2 linked regions of the Lonchura striata genome follow. The protein of the gene in region 2 purifies or fractionates together with the protein of the main gene of each other region. This does not show direct contact. Links are inferred from orthologs where the notes say so. Each region holds a gene or a part of one and is shown on either strand. Other genes may lie near its edges.

Region 1 (10,761 bases), on a different chromosome or scaffold from region 2:
TGATATTATCTCACAGGACCTCCTCCTTTGCCCAGCTCATCCTTTCTTCTGCCAACTATTTTCTCCATCTGCAAAGTTAACAGTGTAGGCTGTAGGTGGTAAGCCTTAGCCCTTGGCTCCTCAGTCATCACCCCGCAGCATCCCCAGAATTTGGGGTGTTGTACTGTCTCTGTGGGTATTCTGCCTCTGGGCATTGTGTCTCTGTGCATCAAGTATTTGGCTGTGATCCCTCCTTGCTTGTGCCTCTGGGTATTGCCCTTCTGGGCATCAGGCCTTGCATATCATGTCACTGGTTAATGTGCCTTTTTGGGTATTTTGCCTCCAGGGATATCATGCTCCTGAGCACTCTGCTTTCTTAAGAGCTGTGTATCCTTGTGCATCTTGAATGTTGGATGTTTTGCCTCTGGGTGTCACACCCAGGGCACTGCTACCTACTGGGGTGTCATGCCTCCAGAGGTCACACCCCCCTGGATATTGCACCTCTTGATCTCCTCAGGCTTCAGGCTTCTGGATATTGAAATTTGGGTGCCTCTGGCTTTCACATTTCTGGGTAAGATGCCCTAAAGGTGCAGTGCCTGCAGGTACAACACCTCTGGGTATCACACTGGTTATGGTGTCTGGCAGGGCACACAGCCATGCCTGACCAGTGCTGGTGTGTTTAAAGTCATCGTGCCTCAGTGTCCCTCCATGACAGGTTGTTGCTGCAAGGTCTGTGGCACCCTGTGCCTGCCTCTCCTGCTCCCTGCCAGGCTGGCAGTGCTGTGCCTTGCTTCAAGGTGCTGGTGTGGTGTGCAAGGCTGTGGGGACATGGTCCCAGAGCCCCTGCCATGACTGTGCCACAGGAACATGCTGTCCCTCCTTGGCTGTTAGGGCTCAGGCTCATGCATGTGGGCAGGGCACTGTGCCCACACTGATGCCGGGACAAGTGCCCACCTCCCTGGGACCCCACCAAAAACCTGTCAGGCTGAAATTAGAAAATAAATATTCTTATTTCTTTAAAAGGAGAAAAAACCCCAACAATACAGGGTTGGGTTTTTTATTTGTCATGTTTCTCTTTCTTTCTTTTAAATCATGAAATGACTCACACTTCTGAGCTGAAAATAAACCTGACTATCAGCTGGTGAGCCATGACAGCATGGAGGCACAGGGTGCCTCCAAGAGCAGCAAGGGCCAGCCGTGCCCCCAGATCCTCCCTGGGGCTGTGGGGGCCTGCTCTGGGGGCTCAGGTGGCCCTGACAGGGCTGCTAATGGAGCTGAAGTGCTGCTGAGGGGACGCTGCCATCTGCACAGCCCCCAGGGCCTCGTGTCTGTGCACTCAGAGCCTCTGCCCAGCGGCTGTGAGGACACACACGTGTGTCCCCACGTGTGCGCGGACACCAGTGGCAGCCCCGTCACCTCCCCGGTCCCTCCGGCACAGCGCGGGTGGCACGGGGGGCCCGGCCTGGACCCCCGGTGCTGTGCGTGACATGACCGTGTGCTGCTCCCCGCAGGGACCCCTGCAGCAGTGACACTGTGCCAGCCCTGCTCCCCGGAGCCAGACGCATGGCGGGTAAGGCACCCCAAGAGAGCTGGTACCCTGCATGCCCCGTTCCCCTGCTCTGCATCACCCTGGGATGGCCAAGGGCTTTCTGGGCCCCAGCGTCCCCTTGTCTCTCCTCTCCTCGGAGGCACGCGAGGTGTGGAGCGGCCACTTCGCTGGTCTGACTGCTGCTCGCCCTTGCTCCCTGCCAGCTTCCCAAGAAGGGCTATGGGGTGAAGGTGATGAGGATGCTGTGCCAGTCGAGCCGAGGGGATCCAGCGGCTCCCCGGGTGCCCAGCCCCAGCCTGGCCCCTTGGTGCAGACATGTCTCCTGCGGGATCTGGAGATGGGGCCCCTCGCCCACACACAGACCCTGCGGGACTTTGAGCAGGTGAGTCTGCGGGGACCCCGCATGGCACCGCCATGGCCCTCCTGGCACTGACGGGCGCTTGCAGGGCCCATGGCGGCTCCACAGGGTGTGGAGGGCAGCAGGGTGGCGGGTGTGGAGGGCAGCAGGGCAGTGGGGTGTGGAGGGCAGTAGGGTGGCGGGTGTGGAGGGCAGCAGGGTGGCGGGTGTGGAGGGGAGCAGGTGCGGAGGGCAGCAGGGTGGTGGGTGTGGAGGGGAGCAGGGCAGTGGGTGTGGAGGGGAGCAGGGCAGTGGGTGTGGAGGGCAGCAGGACAGTGGGTGTGGAGGGCAGCAGGGTGGCGGGTGTGGAGGGCAGCAGGGGTAGTGGGTGTGGAGGGCAGCAGGGCAGTGGAGTGTGGAGGGCAGCAGGGCAGTGGGTGTGGAGGGCAGCAGGGTGGTGGGTTTGGAGGGCAGCAGGGCAGTGGAGTGTGGAGGGCAGCAGGGCAGTGGGTGTGGAGGGCAGCAGGGTGGTGGGGTGTGGAGGGCAGCAGGACAGTGGGTGTGGAGGGCAGCAGGGCAGTGGGGTGCGGAGGGCAGCAGGGCAGTGGAGTGTGGAGGGCAGCAGGGTAGCGGGTGCGGAGGGCAGCAGGTGTGGAGGGCAGCAGGGCGGCGGGTGCGGAGGGCAGCAGGGCGGCGGGTGCGGAGGGCAGCAGGACAGTGGGTGTGGAGGGCAGCAGGGCAGTGGGTGTGGAGGGGAGCAGGGCAGTGGGTGTGGAGGGCAGCAGGACAGTGGGTGTGGAGGGCAGCAGGGCAGTGGAGTGTGGAGGGCAGCAGGGTGGTGGGGTGTGGAGGGGAGCAGGGCAGTGGGTGTGGAGGGCAGCAGGGTGGCGGGTGCGGAGGGCAGCAGGGTGGCGGGTGCGGAGGGCAGCAGGGCAGTGGAATGTGGAGGGCAGCAGGGTGGTGGGTTTGGAGGGCAGCAGGGTGGCAGGTGCGGAGGGCAGCAGGGTGGCGGGTGCGGAGGGCAGCAGGGTGGCGGGTGCGGAGGGCAGCAGGGTGGCGGGTGCGGAGGGCAGCAGGTGTGGAGGGCAGCAGGGTGGCGGGTGCGGAGGGCAGCAGGTGCGGAGGGCAGCAGGGCGGCGGGGCAGGTGCTGGGGGCAGAGGGGCCGGGCCCGCCCGGCGCCACGCTCCCCACACCGCCCTCACGGCTGCGGCGCGTGGGGGCCTGCGGGGCTCGGGTTTCACCAGCCCGCTGTCCCCGCTCCAGCGATTCCTCAAATAGCTCTGGGAGGCGGAAAAAAAAGAGGGAAGGGAGAGCAGCAGCGGGGCCAGCGACGGGAGCTGCGGGCGGGCAGGGAGCCTAGGCTGTGTCCCGGCGGCGCCATGTGAAGGGTGCCGGGATGCCCGCCTCATGGAGCGCCGGCCATGGCTCACGGGTACCGCACGCTCTCGCAGCACCTCAATGACCTCAAAAAGGAGAATTTCAGCCTCAAGCTCCGCATCTACTTTCTGGAGGAGCGCGTCCAGCAGAAGGGCGAGGACAGCCGGGACGATGTCTACCGACGGGTGAGTGCCTGTAGGGGACGGGGCGAGGGGGGTTCCTCTCTTTTCTGGGAAGGAATAGGGTGAGCGGAGTGTACATGGGGGGCATGCCAGGGAGGGCTTTGGGCACTGGGCTTGGAGGAGCTGCTGTATGGGAGTTTGCCCCTCGTTTCCTTTGACAGGAGAGGGTTGGGGACAGCGTCCCCAGCCCAGCTGGGGAGTGCTGTCACCCATCCTGCCTGGGATGGGTGACATTGCAAGTTTGGGGGCACACAGATGGCGTGGGTACACCCCATCCCGGCGCCAACGGGCTAAAATACCACCTGTGCCACTCACCGACAGGAGCACCCAAAGCCCTGCTATGGCATGGGGGTCCCCCACGCAACTTCTTCATTCCCGTGGGCAGTGGGGCTGGGGTGTCCAGGCAAGTGTGAGGGCATCCTACCCACCTCTTTCCTGCTCCATAGAACATTGAGCTGAAGGTGGAGGTGGAGAGCCTGAAGCGGGAGCTGCAGGAGAAGCAACAAGCCCTGGACAACACATGGTGAGTGCGGCTGGCCAAGCCCCTCACCCCAGGGCAGAAATGGTGCCCATGCCCCACCTGTGGTGGGTTTGTGGGCATGGACATGAGGGATGTCTGCCTGCACCCTGCCTGTAGCAGGCAGTAGAGGGGCCTGCAATGGGGCTGGAGGGGTTTGCAATGGGGCTGGGCACCCACAGGGCTCCTCTTACAGCCCAGGCGCCAGCCAGGAATAAAGGACAGCACCTGTTTGGTGGGGGAGGGCAGTGCTGTGCCCAGGGGCCATGGCATGGGTGTCTCACCGCGGGGCACCGATGGCAGGGGGCCAGTGGCACAGCAACTGGCGAGGCCTTGGTTTTGGGAGTGTGTGGATAGTGCTCTGGTGGGTCAGAGCCTAAACATGGCCGGGTGCTGCCAGAGGAGCAGTGTCCCCAGGGCAGAATGTGGGGGGAGCCAGGTTAAGGGCACCTGGAGTGGTACAGATCACCCAGCCCAGCTGGTTTGGGATGGAGGCTTTCACAAAGGCTGTGCTATGCCACACCATGTCATGCTGCACACTGCCAAGCTATGCCGTGCTGTGCCATGCTGTGCCATGGGAGATGCCATGCCGTAGCAGGCCGTGGCACACCGTGCTGTGCCATGCTGTGCCATGGGAGATGCCATGCATAGCAGGCCGTGGCACACCATGCTGTGCCCGGCAGGGTGGCTGCGGAGAACCAGACAAGCCGCAGCCAGGCCGCACTCCGGCAGCAGTATGAGGAGCGACAGCGGGAGTCGGAGCACGTCTACGAGCTCCTGGAGAACAAGATCCAGCTCCTGCAGGAGGTGAGCCTCAAGGGATGGTGGGCACGGGGGAGGAGCCAGGGGCTGCTGCCTGGGGTCTCACCCTGCTGCCGTGCAGGAGGCCAGGCTGGCACGGACTGAGGCCGAGCAGGCCACGGCACTGGCCCGAGCTGAGGCAGAGAGATGCCGGGAGCTGACAGGGAAGCTGAAGGAAGCGGCAAGGACAAAGCAGGAGGACAGCAGTGACAATGGCTGTGGCTCCATGGCGCAGAGGTGGGTGTCCCTGACATATCTCCTCTATGCTGCCAGCCTGTGTGCTGTGCCAGTTCCTGGGGACCACCAAGGGGCTCGTGATGTGCGTGATTGAGGGGCTGAGCATATCTGGTGGGATGCAGGGATCACCCCAGTGTGGGAGAGCTGGGCTGTGGGGAAGGGAGAGTAGTCCTGAGGTTGCTCTGCTCTGCCCCAGAGATTGATCTCTGTCCCCAGTGTCATCCCATGGCCATCCCAGTCCTGAGCATCGCATGCCCTTTGTCACTTTCAGGAGGATCGAAGAGCTGACCCAAGAGCTGGCCGCCAGCAACCAGCTCGTGGAAATGCTGTCAGCAGAGAAGCGTGACCTGCAGCAGTGCCTGGAGGCGTCTCCGGTCATGGAGGGGCAGGTAAGTGGGCAAGGCTGGGGGGACCCCAAGGAGGAGCACAGCCATCCAGGGCCTGACTGGTTGTTGTCACCCCTGTCCCCTTCTGGGGCTGTGGCCAGGGCTGTGCAGTGTTCAGCCTGGCAGGGTTGGGTGATTGCCAGGAGCCGGGAGGAGCTGCGAGGCTCAGAGGACATGGTGTGAGCTGTCAGGGGACAGGCCACCAGCCTGCGCAGTCTTTCTGAGGGTGTTGGTGCCGCTTGCTCCTGTCTGCCATTTAAATCCCAAGTCTTAAAATACTCCTGGCAGCCTGGCATGGTGCCAGGCAGGATTTCGGGGCTGTGAGAGATCAGAGCGGCATGTTCCTGGCAGCTGCACAGCTCTGGCCACGCTGGATGTTGGTGGCACGGCGCTGTCCCCAGCAGCCAGGGGCTGTCAGTGCGTGAGCTGCCTGTGCCATGCTCCTGCAGGGACCCTGCTGTTTGCCCAGCCGGTGGCATGGGCTGTTGCTGGTGACACTGTGCTGCAGGGACTTGCCCGCCCACACTGCCTGCTGGGGCTGGGCACGGGGGGCATGGGGGCCTGGTGTTGGGACAGGCACTGGGATGAGGATCCAGCACTGGAACAAGATCCGGCACTGGGACAGGTGCCACACTGGGACGGGGATGCGGCACAGGCACTATGGTGGTGCCTGGCACTGGGACAGGCACTGGCATTGGAACGGGGACGTGGCACAGGCACTGGGGTAGAGACGTGGCACTGGGACAGGCACTTGCGTTGGAGCCAAGCACGTGTGTGTGTGTGTGTCCTGGCACTGAGACTTGATCCCTGCGCTGTCGCGATCGATCACTGTCGTTGTCTGTGTCGCGACCCCCGGTGCCGCCCGTGTGCCCGGGCGTGGCGCGAGCCGCCACTGCGCATGCGTAAACGGGCGTGGTAACTACATATCCCGGCAGGCGTTGCGGGCCATGCGCGTGCGCGGGAGGCTGGGCTTGGCCGCCATCTTGAAATCTGAGCCAGAAGCCGGGCGCCGCCGTGGCAGGAGCATCCTCGGCTCGGGCGGTGGGGCCGGGCCGGGGCGGGACGGGCTGGGGCAGCCCGCAGTGAGGGGCAGCCCCGGGTTCGGGGGTTGAGGAGAGAGGGGCAGCATCGGGGGCTCGAGCTGTGAGGAGAGGGAGCAGCATCGGAGGGGCGGGGGGGCCAGCCTGGACAAGGGGGCAGCCCAGATGTGTCTGTGAAGATGTGAAGGAGGTGGCGCAGGGTGGGATCTTTCTGTTGCATCAAGAGTCCCGGCGTGTCACCACCCTAAAAAGAGGGGATTGGTGCGGTGAGACGTGCCGCCAGGCTCAGGGATTGAGGGAGATGTGCTGACCTCGGGAAGGTCTCCTGAGTAGGAGTAGGTTTGGGTGCCGGGAGGGAGGGAGGATGAAGGATAACTGCCGGATCTGCGGCCGGGAGCTGTGCGGCAACCAGCGGCGATGGATCTTTCACACGGCAGCCAAGCTGAATCTCCAGGTGCTGCTCTCCCACGTCCTGGGCAGGGAGCTGTGCCGGGACGGCAGGTCCGAGTTCGCCTGCAGCAAGTGTGCCTTCATGCTGGACCGCATCTACAGGTTCGACACCGTCATCGCCCGCATCGAGGCCCTCTCCATCGAGCGCCTGCAGAAGCTGCTGCTGGAGAAGGACCGTCTCAAGTTCTGCATCGCAAGCATGTACCGCAGGAACAACGACGACTCCAGCACAGAGGACAGGGCTGGGGAGGGAACGGTGGACCTTTCCAACCTGCCTGATGCACGGTACGCTGCCCTCCTCCAGGAGGACTTCGCTTACTCTGGATTTGAATATTGGATGGATCAGGAAGAGCATGGCCTGGAGCCGCACAGCTGCCACGGCTCTGAGGGGGCAGGGAGCCGCCCGCGGCGCTGCCGGGGCTGCGCTGCCCTGCGTGTGGCTGATGCAGACTATGAAGCCATCTGCAAAGTGCCCCGAAAGGTGGCCAGGAGCATCTCCTGTGGGCTATCCAGCCGCTGGTCAGCCAGCATGGGCAACGAGGAGTCGTCTGTGTGTGATGTGGCCGAGTCCACCAGCTCCAGGGTGGCTGTGGATGGGGACAGCATGGAGGAAGGCACACCTGCATCCTCTCTCGAATCTCTGGACACCACCGTGGAGGCCAGCCCTCCGCAGCAGAAGGATGAAGATGCAGATAAGGGGGTGAAAGGGAACGGGAAATGTGACGATTTGTCGGATGATCGCATGACCCCGAGCTCTTCACTGAGTGGGAACAGGCTGGAGCTGGCCCTCAATTTGATCAAGACTTTAGACTACAAACCCCTTCAGAGCCCCCGAGGCAGCCGACTACCTATTCCTGTGAAGTCCAGCTTGCCACCTCCCAAGCTCTGCCGCGACTTGGCAGATGGCAGTGCTTCTGCTGGTTTAGCATGTGCTAGTTCTGCCTTCCTCAATGCAGACAGAAAATCATTTTCCAGAGCTCCTTTGGGCCTTCCCCTGGAAATTTCTGAGCTGCAGGAGCTGTGGGATGACCTCTGTGAGGATTATATGCCGCTGCGGGTACAGGTAGAGGTCACAGTGCCGCCCTTCCATTGAGCATTGTCCTCGTGGTCCAGGGCTGAGCCCACTGGGGATTCTTCTGTGCTGAGATAATGCAGACAGCCACGTGTGGCTGATCGGGGGCTAAGAATAGGCAACTCGGTCCTTTTTAGGTGTGCTGCCTCTCTCCTCAGTCATTCTCTTGTCTCCTGTTTCCTCCCGGTGTGGTGTTCTGGGAAATGAACCTTCCCCCCCCTCCATCAACCCTCCCCGGCAATGCAGCCTGCTAGGTGTGTCTAAGCTCTTTGTCATTTTCCTACTGAGAAAACACCAGTTTCACTTCATCTTTAGGCTTAAAGTCGGTGTGGTTTTTATACACAACTAAAGGGAGTATTTTAAGCTTCTGGGCATGTGTTTTCCAGCAGATGTATTTTCTTTGTGCCTGAGTAATGTTTGGGAGTGTGGGGAATGCCTGCTTCTAGCCCTGCCTCTGCAGGTCGGGCCTCAGACCTGCCGAACGTGCAGAGCCACCCAGGAATCTGTGGCGTGTGCCCTGAGGAAAAGGTGTTTTCCTTGCAGGTGGATTTGTGCCAGAGGATGACTTTAGGGTTGGTATTCAAGATAATTGGTTTATTTTCTGATCCTTTGAAAAGATCTATCAATTAGTGGCAGGTGTTGCTGAGAGGGGATGAAAGCTCCTGCTTTTGGGATGCTGTTATCTCTCTTGATAGCAGTCCTAGCTCCAGGTTGCCTCTTCTTTGCTTGCTTTAATGAAATGTTCTTTAGTATGCAGTCAAAAAGCCGAACTCCTAATTTCTTTACCACTTCCAGTAATGAATAGAAGGCTTCAGTCAGGTTCAATTCTGGAATATCCGTGTCAGCCTAATTGCATTCCGGTTAGCAGCCTTAGCGCTGCCTAATGCTGTAGGTAGCCCGGGGGATTAGGAAAATGCTCGTTTATTACTATGGCAACTGTGCAGTGCTGAATTGCTCTTGCTCTTTAGCTGCCGGCTTGCTGTCCATCTGCTCAAGCGTTTCCCGGAGCTGTGTGCTTTTTTCCTAAAAGCCTGCTCTAGAAACGATGCTAGGGAAAAACGCAGGAAAACTAGTTTTCATCTTGGAGCACAAAGGCATGGTGCTGGCAGCCGGCAACTGAGGATGTAAACCAGGGCATCGTGTCGTTTGCTGATGGTTCTCACTGCTAGGCGTGTGTTTGCAGGATAAGAATGGGCTTTCTCTGAGCAGCGTGGCGTGTTTGCAGGTTGGCTTTGTGTCACACATGACCATCCTCTTCTAGGAACTGTATTTTGAGGAGTTTCTCCATCCTCTCCCATCCGACCGGCCCTGCCAGGAATTTATCCTGCAGGATATTTTACTGCTGGTTTCTTGCCGTGACAGCAGCAACTCTTCAGCGCAGGGTCTGGCTGAAGGGGGAAGGGCTTAATCCCTTCGGGTGGCTTTAAGAGCAAAAGTGGCAAGGCAGATGCAGCTAGTAGACTGAATAGTTCTTGCACAAATGATTTTTCTTTCGTTTTGTAAAAGCAACACCCTTCCTGTAAGTCAGGTGCTGCTGCTGTCCAGTGATTCCTGTGCATAAATGTGAAAGGAATATCTAGAACATACCGGACCGAAGTTCTCTTAAAGCTTTTGCAGTTCTTTAAATTTATGGAGCATTCTGGTGTCAGGACATGTGACCTTGTAGGTACTGCCTTCCTGGGGGTTTTCTTGAGCCAACAATTCCTCCCCTTCCCCACCACAGCCCCAGGGAGGTGGCACCAAACGGAGCCTTTGTGAGACACTCCCGCAGCTGCCTGCGGTGCCCTCCTGACAGCCGGGCTCTTTCTCACTGTGCTGGGCAGTCTGAGCTTGGCAGGCTCTGAGAGTGTCATGAGAATTGTTTTTAAAGAAGTGTTCTGTTTGGGTCAGTGTGTGATGGGGCTGCTGCTGCTGTGCTGAGGAGAGATTGGCAGTAAAATGCTGATGTTGGAGAAGTCGACATGGCTGCAGGGAGGCAGCTTGGGCTTTGGAACTTTGGACTCTGGAGCTGGCTCTGCATTCCCCTCCCTGCTCTCAGCTCTTTCCGGGTTTTCTGCCTTTTTTCTTTTCCTTTTTATTTTTTTTAATGTGAAAATTGAGGAAATATATTTTCCGTTTCCCCCCCCTCTGTTTTAATCAAAATAGCTTATTTCAAAATAGCTGCTGTGACAGAATCCAGCAGCTCTCCCTGTCTCATCCATAGCCTCCTGGCAGAGAAAATTTGTAATCACCATGGCTGGAAGTTTTCACTGAAATCCTAACAAAACATCAGTGTAAAGGGAGATGTTATTTCTGTCTGTGAGAGGCAGTGCTCTCACAACTGAGGGAGCTCCCCCGTGCTGCATGAATTCCCCACAGACAGCGTTTCTGTGGCCACTGAGGATGAGGATTCATTAGCCTGACAGGGCTAATTGGAACTGACTGTTCTGGCTGTGCTGCAGTGCCTGGAGCTGGTGCCTGTGTGTGTGTGTGCAGCAAAATTGTAAGGAGGGATGACAAGGGATTAGTGTTGTGCTCAGCCAGCCGGCTCTGGCAGGCCACGTGTCACAAAGTAGGCTGTTTACATTCCCAATAAATGGGTATGTGTCATGAAAAAAATCTCAGCTGTGGCACTGAATTTGCTCCTGTTTTGAGGAGCTGCAAGGAATTGTACACAGTGTGGGTGCTGGAACACGGGAAGTGGTGAAGGAGAGCCCAGAAAATCATAAGTGGAGGGGTTCAGAGCAGGATTACTGCTAGGTCATGGCAGGAGGGGCGCTGGTGGGAAGGATTTAAGGTTGTAAGCTTGACAAAGACACAGAAGCTCAGCAGAACATGGGAACCATTTCAGTGT
Region 2 (10,616 bases):
TCTCTTCTAAATTGCATCCACCCCAGCCTGGGTCCAGTTGGGGTTGTCCTTATAATCATACAAATAATGCTTGCTTGCTTTCTGTATTTCAAAAGAGTGACCGTAGAAATTACTAAAACTTCATTTCTCATGTTGGCTAAGTACATATCAGATGGTAGTGATTTCAGCCATTATCCATCATACCACAGATTTCAGTTTGAATATATATATTTATAAGAAAATCACATGCTTTTCTATACAACCCCTGATTTAAGGGTATCCCACTATAACTTGTATGTATTTTTATATTGCTACCTTGTCCTTCCTGAGCCCTTCCACTGCTCTGATCTGCCCATTACGTACACATGGCACAAATGTAGTTGCGTGCAAAGTTTTTTCTGGTTTCTACAATTTACCTATTATTTCAAAATTTCTATGAATAGTACATCTGTAAGCACTTCAGACTGAATAAATGAACTAAAATAAAGACATGCCTTTAAAATTAGTATTGTAAGGTAGAATATGCATGTTTTACCTAAACAGTGATCTCATATTATTTAGGCACAATCAGTGGGTTAAGCTGAGATACAGACTTGCATTTTCTAGCTCAAGTTTCCAAAGAAGGAACCCAAAGCAACCAACACACCAACAGAAGTACACGGGGGAGGAGAGGGACAGCTGTAGTATTTTCCTGTTAAAATACACCACTATCTGAAAAAGATACCAAAACAAACTGAAGTAAAACAAAACAAAAGAAAAATCAAGTAAACAGAGGCTACGGTGTGCCAAATGATATATGCAGCACTGTAATTTTTGACTTTAAGGAACAGCAATGTTACCTCAAAAAACTCTTCAACTAATTCATATTAAGGCTAGATGAAATTTTTATCTACGGCAACCATTTTAAAACAGCTGTTACAAATTACATAGGCTATTGCCCATCAAAATAAGTTGCAAATCAATATGTAAGTGGTAAAGTCAGAAGAAAAGTATAGTCACTGTAAAAAGAATAAATAATTTAATGAGCATTTTCAAATGTTGCTAACACAATATAATAAATCTTAATATGCAATTCAGACTTGCTAAAAGTTAGACATATTTTCTAAAACAGGGCTCATTTTTATGTATATTTCCTGTTCAATTTAGTGTCTGCTATTTATTTGAGTAGGAATTAGTTGTTGTAACTGATTAATGCCAATATACCCATGTAGGACAATTAAATATTTTTTTAAAAAACCAACCAAACAAACCAACTAGAAAACCTGAAAAACATTCCCAAATTAAACCATGTGTTCCAAAGAGGATAATCTAAATGCTCTGAACATAAAGAATGTCATTTCTGAGGTCACCTTAACTCCAGGTGTCAATTCAAAACTATGACACCAATACAACAAAGTTCTCCCTCCAGACAAGGTAACTGCTTTTACCTTTATGTGATTTCTGCAGCCGAGGTAATGGACACAATAAAGACCTGAACAGATTTTAATTCAAGGTTCACATATAACTCTTAATCCTGAGTACAGGGGTTTTTTCTTTTTAACACAGCTTATGCCTCAGCTCATCATTTCTGAAACAGGATACACTTCCAAAATACATTTCAAGGACAAAACTAATATTGACAAAGAGTTCAACTGCAGAGCTTGTAGGTACTTAAAAACATTTGGTAGGAAAATAAAAGTTTGGAGCATTTACAGTGAGAGCTCAACAATGTTCTGATTGAATTAATTAAGGAACACTGTCAGTTTGAGATTTCAAATGTACGGCTTTAGCAAAGGAAAGATACCACCACCACCAGGCCTGACCTCCTTAACAGAGGTTTTCATTTTGCATTTGCTTATCCACTTTTTAAATTTATTGCCCTCTCCTAAGGATGCAAACAGGGCAAATTTGCTATATGGAAGTCGTCTAATAAATCATAAAGGCAAAAAAAATTTAAAACTTTCTCCCAAGCGTCAGTTCTTAAAAATTGCTACTTCTAGAAACAGAAAGCAAAAGCATAGAAGAAACATGCTTTGAAATTGGTATCTAAACCCATTAAACAAATATTTGAGTACAAGCCTTTATGCCTCCAGTTATTAACAAAAGGCTGAATGGATTCATTGTTATGTTACCTTAGAAGAATATATTCAGGGCAGACATAAAATTTGAATTTTAAATACACACTCCTGCACAATGTACATATACACAAGCACACTATTAATAATCATTTACCATGAGTTACTTCTTATTAATCTTCACATGGCTTCACAAATATTTTCATTTTTTGTTTCTTTTAATTAACAATTATTTGAACAGACAGAATTTACAAACCATAATACAATTAAATGCTCAAAATATATTAGGCTTAAAAATGTGGCATTTTAAAGGGTTTTTGTCAAACAAGTAAATCAATTTGTCAAACTAAGAGATTCTAGCATGTCCCTTAATGAGAATATTGGCAATAATAGCTTTTTCTCTTCACAATCACAACAAAAAGACTGTCAAAAGAATCTTAATTACTGGTATTCATTTGAAAAGCTTAGAAAGCTTCTTAGAGCATCCTGTAAAGTTACAGGTACGTAACACATACATATTAATAAATAAAACTACTTTTATGTACTTCCCTCCATACAACATTCCAGTTTTCCATTTAGCAATGAGATTTGGTGTTAGAATAATTAATGTTTGAAAGGCCACATCTAGTATTAGTGAAATGCGATAATTTTTTTCTTCCACATTATGATTATTTCAGTTTTCAAAGACAGCAAATTTTCAAATTTCTACCAATCTCACAGAATCAGCATTACAGTTTAAAATTGCAGAACTTGATTGACAGATTCAATTTCTCATTAAATACATGTGGGTATAGCTGGAAAGAACAGATGAGAAGAATGGCGACTGTCTTATGGGGTAACACAAAGCATTTTGAAAACTCACCCATTTCTTAAACACCTACTTGTTTATCTACATTTCCTGATGAAAGGCACATAAGACATCATTTCAAAACCTGCACTGAAATTCAACTAGCAAACAGCTGCCTTCCATACTCTGCTAAGTAAGTCTACCTCCAGCACGACTCGGAGGGATGACTGCTTTGATGATCTGATAAGATACGCCTCAAGCTATCCTCAAAAAAATACAATAAAGATGCTCGGACGCTTTCCTCTTCTCCATCTAACCTTACTGACTGTCCCTTCAGTCAGCCTGCTCATGACACAAAGACAAAGCACTGTGCACCCTTCAGAGGCAGCTCCCACCCGTCCCATAACCCACACCAGCAGATGGATTGGCACAGTCCCTAAATAAAACCTGTCAGCCACACAAAGATAAGGTGTCATTAGCTGCGTGTAGATCGGTGTTACCTTCAAACACAAAGATACTGCAAATGTCCTTTGCTGTCACAGCAACACTTGTTCCACAGGCCCTTCTAAATGCACAAAATTTAACTCTGGCTTTCAGGAAGAAATTATGTTTTAAATTGTGCTCTACTTTCTAAAACACATGTAAGTACATCTACGCAAAACGTTTAATCAAGTGCGTGAACAACATGCCCACGGGAGGTATTTTCTAAGGCAGACATGCCCTTGCACTAATCACGGAATGCAGATCTGCTCCTATAAAAAGGAAACACACGGATAGATCTTCGCTGGACTATGCCAGGCTCATACGCTTCCAGCGCCGCAGCCGGTGATACCCGCACGCCGAGCCCCAGGGGACAGCCCGGGAGGCTGAAGTTTGCCGCGGGATACGGGGAGCCTCCCGCGGGCTCGCTGTCGGCGCGGGCGGTCTCTGCCCGCGGTGCCGCCGCTGCCGTGCCCGCGCACCGCGGCCCCGCGGCCCCGCACCCGCGGGCGGCCCGGCCCCGAGCCCATCCCCGCGGCCGCGCACCGAGCCCGGGCGGCCGCGGAGCCCCCCGCGCCCCCACCCCCGGGCCGGCGAGGTGGGGGAGCCTTACCCGGGAACTGCTGCGGCGGCGGCGGCGGCGGCGGCTGTTCGTCCTCGCCGCTCTCGGAGTCGGTCTGCATGGGCTCCTCGGCGAAGTTGACCCCGCGGGCGTCGGGGGGGCCCCGGCGCGGCGGCTGAGTGCCCCTGTCATGGCCGGTGCCCGCTCGGCGGCCGCTCGGCTCCTTCTCCGCCGCCGCCTTGGCCGTCGCCGCCTCCTCCTTGAGGCGCCCGAAGTACTGGAGGGCAAACTCCAGCAGGTCCCCGGGCTGGCTCCGCAGCACCTCTACCGTGAAGCCCTGCAGCAGCTCCGTCAGCCCCGCCGGGATGGAGATGCTCATGCCGGGGCCGGCCGGGGGGGCGCAGCCCGGCCAGGAAGGGGGAGGGTGAGGGGAAGGGGAGAGGAGAAGGAGGAGAAGGAGGAGGAGAGGGGGGGAGAGCCCAGGGCCGGGGGTCGGCGGCCCGGGGGACGAGGCGCGCCCGGCAGCTCGCCCGTGGGCAGCGGGAAGGGGCGGGCGGCGGCGCAGGTGGGAGCGGGCGGGGGGCGGGCCCGCGGGGGGCAGCGGCTCCGGCTGCCTCGGCGGCGGCGCCTCCCCCCGCGCCGGGGAACCCGCGCGCATGTGACCCGGGAAACCATGACAACCTCCCGCCGGGACTGCGGCCGCCGCGCCCCGCCCGCCCGCCGCGGGAGCCGGCGGGGCGGCGGGCAGCGCAGGGCAGGGCAGGGCACCGCATCCCTGCCCCCGCACGGGCTGCCCTGCCGGGCCACGGCCACGCCGCGCACCGCGGCCCCCGCCACCCACGGGCTGCCGGGGACCCAAACCGTGAGCGCCGTCTCCCTGCGGGGGTGTCCGGGCATCCGCCCCGCGACCAGCGGGGATTCCCGCTGAGCGGACGTGTCCCCGCTCAGGGAAGGACCGCAGTGCACTGCTGTGCTTTTTCACGGCCATGCACCACCTTAAAGCTCTTCTCCACATCATTCATACGCATACAAGTGCTGTCGATTTACATTCATCTGTATCATTTAGTTTGGGAGGGGTGATGTGGTGCAAGCAAGAACATCCTGTTTGTTTCAGGTCCACGAAAAATTTAGCTGGAAAAAGAAAGAATTGTTTAAAAATGGGGGAAGAAGTCCAATTTAAACACTGCTGAATGCCAACGCTCGGCATAGACGCTCTTCCAAGCCATGCTGCAGAGATACTTAGCACAGTGGTAAGTGGGTGCTGCTTGTCATCACCAGGAAGCTTAAATGTTTTAAGTAGAGTAAGTAGCAATTACGGGTGCCATGTTTTTCAATGCTTCACTAAACTGCTTCTTGAAAGTGAAGTCCATAGAATGCTTGATAGCTGCATTTCCCCCCCCCCTTTGTTATCACCTCTGAATATTGGCCAACGTTTTGGGGTTCCAGAAAGATCTGTTCGAGTCTTATTTTTATGCATCAAGCAAATTAACTGCTAAACCCTCTAAAGGCTGTGACAACATGGCTGTTTGAGAATAGATTTCATTAAACATTCAGCATTCTTCAAATGGCCTTGCAATGAGCTTCATAGGGGCTTAGGGTAAGATAAGCAGTCAAGTGTGAGTTTGCAGTAGCGAGATACTGAAAGACCTGACCTCGAAAAAATAAGGTGACAGCAAAATACAGCAATCTCTGTGACACTTTTCACGCAGGGATATCAAAGCCAGTTTTAAGTTCAATTAATTTCCAAATGGAACCCAGTTCTGATTGTGTATGTATTTTCAAATGGAGCTTGGTTCACAGATTGGATCTTCAAAGTGTTACAGACCAGGTAAATTAGTGAAGTGAGTAAACCATGCCTGCGTGGGTGATATTGCTGCCCTGTAACAGGCAGGAGACATCTCTACCAGTTGAGCTGTGGAATACCTTCAGGCAACATCTTGTGGCTTCACTTTATGCTGCAGGCATAAAGTACTTTTTTGAAGTTAAATTCACTGTTGTTTAGCACCGTCCTGCTTGAGGAACCTCTTCAAAGTCAAGCTAAGTCGTCTGGAGGCAGACTACGAGTTCTCTCTGGACTGCAGAAGCTTGCTCTATCATCAGGCTCCAAGAACTGCTGCAGCGTCCAGGGGGCTGCCAGCACACCCCCACTCCATGCCCTGCTGCAGTGCTGGCATGCCCTGACCACACCTGCCTGCTGGAAGCCCTGCTGCTGCAGCATGTAGCACATTAAAATGGTTGAGAATCAGGTGCAGCAGGAGAGCTGGCACCTGTACATCATGGACAGGTGCATAGCTTAGTCTGGAGCGTGGGTTACCTCGAAATACCAGATTGCCTCGTTCACAAGTTTGGGAGCTTAAAAACCTTCTCACACCACTGATAGGATTGATCTGTTTGTGACCAAGCTGAGACATACCTAAGCTTTGAGGAAGCTCCCAGGAAGAGAAGTGTTAGTAATTAGTGCCTTCCAAGCACTAGGTGTCCTGTGAGCATATAATATTCCATTTAATGGAGTCTTCCAAGGTTAGAAGAGTTATCATCCCTGAGGTTTTCTTGTACCCAGACAAGGCAGTCTTTTTTTCTAGGAATTTACCAGTAGCATAGTGTCTTTCGCCATTTAATCAAGGACTCCCCTAGTTTGTCAGAGACTCTCATCCTCCCAGACTTAAAATGAGATCACTCCTCTGAAGACATCCTCAAGAGCCAGCCTTTGATGCTTTTATGTAAAACTCAGATAATTTGAATAAGAGATTCCTAAGTGGAAGAACTCTAAAAAATGCTTCTTTCTAAAAAAGGTTTCAAAACAGCACAAAACATTTGTGTCTAGTGAAACTTACCTTGAGGTTTGTGTATCTCAAAGGATGGCAGGAAACTTTGTAGTTCAAGTTGGTGTCATCTAGTTTCCTTAGATGCTTTCTGTTCCAAAGACCTTGTATTGATATTTAAATTGCTTTTAAATCCTTGTAAGGAAGACAGCTGCCAAAAATATGTGTTATGTCTAGCAGAGTGAACAGTTAGATAGTGAGAGTATTGGTTCACACCTCTCCAATGAGTTTCATTAGCTACTACTAATTTTTGAGTGCCATCTCATTCAGCTGTAAATATCTTCTTGAAAAGAAAGAGAATTTACAACCTACAGAAATCCTACTGTACTGAAAAAGGATTAGGCAGAATATTCGCCTCACAATTCCAAAGGAAATAACATAAAGACTTTGTTATGTCCTTTCCTCCTGGCCAACAAATGCCCTTTTCATAACATACTGCTTACCTGCTTTGCATGTCGTTCTTGTCCCTTCACCTGGCTTGCAGCAGTGAGAAACTAGGTGATTAGAGCTAACAGGTGAGAAATAGCAGTTGTCTCCCACAGGACAATTCCAGACAGCATGCTTCAGACAGTGGCTGGGAATACTTTGTCAGAGCTCAGAGGATGAGATATTTTCTGATCACATGGAGGACAATTAACTCAGTGCAGAACAGATGAGTGCCAGACTTTCAGGCTTTGTCTTTACCAGGTCGATGTAAATTTAGTAAACTTGACCTAACAAAGTCCATTCAGCATCCAACTACAAGCCTGTTTTTTTTTCTGCCAGCTTTCAATGTTTTGCCTGATAAGAATGTTTTTCCCCAGTGCTTCCCAAGACCTGCTCTCCAACAACCATCTCCCGATGAACCCCGGCTAAACTGCGATGCTGTGGTGGTGCTCAGAGGGGCAGAAGTGTACACTTAACATCAGGGTGTAAGCCAGGGCAAAGCCCTTTCTCCCCTGAGGAAAGCAACTTTAGAAAGCACACCAGTGGAATACCAGCTTTTAAATCTGCCCTTTGTTACATCCTGTCAGGCAAGAGAGATTGTTCTTACTGTGTCCTTGGACCTGCTGCAGAGCTAGCCCAGAAAGAAGAGATCCTGATCTCATCATCTGTAACAGTCTCTCTCAATTTGGCAATCTAGTCATTTCTACAGTGGTTCTCCATGGAAAGAGTTCATATTGTACTGGAGAAACACATGGCAAAGCCAGGCCCTCTGCCTAATGCAGGATAGTAGGAAAAGACTCATGTTTGTGTTTGGGAGATGTTACTCCCTAAATTTCCCGTGTTTAAAAGATCATTGATTTGTGATATCTCAAATCTTTTGTCCAGGCTTTTGAAATTTTAAGTAAATATACACTTTGCATACTGCATGCCAAAAAAGCTGCTGGTCAGAAGGCATCTTCAAATCCCAACATGTTTTATATTTGCTTCAAAATCTCATCAGCTATACAGTAATGTTTTTTATTCCTGGCTCTTGACTGAGTGATAGCTGGTTTGTGAGTTTAGAACAACCACAGTTCATAGGAATAATCATGTACCAATTTCTGATCTTCCAAAATACCTTTAAAATATTACATGTATTGACTTTTTTTTTTCCTACTCAGGTCCTTCTGGCTTAATAGGCAAATCTTGCTCGCAGAATTTTGAAACTGTTTTTAATAGCAATCACTTAGCAATGAATTTTCCAGCAATAACAAAACTTGCAGTTGTGTAGATCCATAGTTTCACACTTTTCTATTCTCATTCGAATGTCACCATTATTGTATTACAAAATCCATTACCAAGCCCAAATCCATTTTTCAGAAAAATGTTCAGTTCTTTAAACAATATAAGAAACTAGTGCCTGTGATGCATGAATCAAGTTCTAACATATTCCCCATGATTCTTCCTTCAATTGAATCTCCTTCATCTCATACCCTTTACTCTGTCTGTGCTTATGTTCTGTGGATTCAAACCCCTTAACTCCTCCACTGCCTACTGTAAACCTAGAATGGCAAGAACCAATACCCACTTACATACTTAAGTAAAATTGCTATTTACGTCAATGAAGGTTTTCCCTGAGCAAACAGAAGGGCCAAGTTTGAAAGTTGGGTGGAAGGAATCCACCTGAAGAAACAGAATAGCAGCAAAGCAGTGTAAATGAAAGAGTCCCTGCCACTTTCAGTACCAATTCACAATCAGATTAACCACATACACAGTTTGAGGAGTTTCCTCACACAAAATGGCACCTGCTAACCCAGGAACAAGTGTTCATTTCCTCTCCCTTGTATCACCTTTTAGGCATTGTAGTGCTATGTAGTCAGTGAAATTATATGACTGTTAGAGCTGAGATGAATCATCATGCTCTCCGTGAGAAGAGAGCAGAAGTCATGGCTCAGGAGGAGGAGTATCACATTATCAGCAATTCAAATTCTAGTTGGTTTATGTTGGTCCTGAATCCAAGTGTTCCATCCACCTCATTTACTGAGATAATATGTTCAAAAGAAATGCAGAGTATCACATATTCTAACCTCAAGTCCCTTGCTTTTTCACTCACCAAGTCCTTTTTAAACCCAAACTATTTTCCAGGGAATATGAGCTTTGTGATTTGTTACAAGTTCTGTTTACAAGTGCTACTATTCAGTAAATGAACAGCTGTTGATTGCCATTGAAATCTGTTGTTTGTCATCCTTGATATTCAGAAACTACAGGATACTGTCTCTTAGAAAAGTGCTCCTTTTGATGTGCCTCAGTTTGGGCTCTCATAATCACCTGTAATTTCAGAAAAATGTGCCTAGAGTTTCTAAAGTCGATATAGTGAGTACTGAATTTGTCATTAAAAGTAAACCTTCCCATTTTAAGAGTAATGAAATAAAATGGAAGTGTAGATGTAGTAGACTTCATCTATTTTGAGGATCTTATTTCGTTTGATGCCCTACACTTTTTATAAAAATGGCACTATGCACTGTCAAGACAACCTGTTAAATGGGTAACAGAGACATCTCTCCAAGTAGCTAATGACAGAAAATAATCATCAGATGGAGAAGTTCCCCAAGAATTGACTGTAGGCTGCTTCTGTTCAACACCTCCTGCAATCACATGGGAGCAAGTATAAATGTTGCTGATGTAACTTTGAGATGACACAAAACCCAGTTGAACAGTGATACCACTGAGCTCGGGGAAGCATAGGATGATCTGGATGACTTGTCCATTTAAAGAAAATCATACTCTACAAGCTCTTTATTAAGTCTTTGACTTCAGAAGAAAGAGATTTCTACAGAACAGAAGGACTCTGTCTTGGAAGGCAGTGCTTCTAGAAGAGTCTGGTGATCAGAATGGAAAAACAGCTTTACTCCAATTTCTGGTGTAATTCTGTAGACAAATGAGATTTTTGCTTGTTTCAAGAGGGAGATCAAAAACAGGAGTGGGAGATCTTCCCTCAATAAAGCACTCCTGAGACCAGTAAAAAAAAGTACAGATATAGTGTTCATATATTCAATAGAATATGGAGAAATGGAGATGTGCAGAAAAGAGACGTAGGAATTATCCACAAGCTGAAGGAAACGTCTTGAGGTGAAAAGACTGGGAGAATTCTCAACATTTATCTACCCACTTGTTACCATGCTCAGTAGAAGAGGCTTATATGATCTAAGAGATGAAAGATATGAGTCTGTATAGTCTAGTAGCACCTTTATGGAAAAGAATAACATCAGTCTTGCTTATCAGAGATGGCTCAACATGTTCTCTTGGAAAATCAAACTCTATCGTGTCACTAGAGGAACACACAAACATCCAAAGATGCAGTAATTCTTAGCTGTTCTGAAATACAAAGCACTAGTGAAAAAATCATAATACATATGTGTTTTTGAAAACTTACGGTCACTGCCATGGATGCTTGGGTTTTATTTAAATGAAAAAGATTGATAGTGAATGGATAGTTTTCTTCATTTTCCTCGAGGGAGCTGGGGAAT

Evidence for each region.
Region 1: the proteins of PRKAR2B (region 2) and PDE4DIP purify together in Homo sapiens (affinity purification with mass spectrometry; 4 studies listed by BioGRID and IntAct, counting the BioPlex papers as one, with this or other methods). This does not show direct contact. The link is inferred for Lonchura striata from reciprocal best matches to the Homo sapiens genes PRKAR2B and PDE4DIP.

Annotation. Positions count from the first base shown.
Region 1 is NC_134611.1:106,833-117,593, forward strand, and holds the start of PDE4DIP (myomegalin), read left to right. Parts: upstream 1-6,552; 5' UTR 6,553-6,770; coding exon 6,771-7,919; intron 7,920-10,761. UniProt on the Homo sapiens protein: Functions as an anchor sequestering components of the cAMP-dependent pathway to Golgi and/or centrosomes.
Region 2 is NC_134607.1:59,473,837-59,484,452, forward strand, and holds the start of PRKAR2B (cAMP-dependent protein kinase type II-beta regulatory subunit), read right to left. Parts: upstream 4,293-10,616; 5' UTR 4,242-4,292; coding exon 3,914-4,241; intron 1-3,913. UniProt on the Homo sapiens protein: Regulatory subunit of the cAMP-dependent protein kinases involved in cAMP signaling in cells. Type II regulatory chains mediate membrane association by binding to anchoring proteins, including the MAP2 kinase.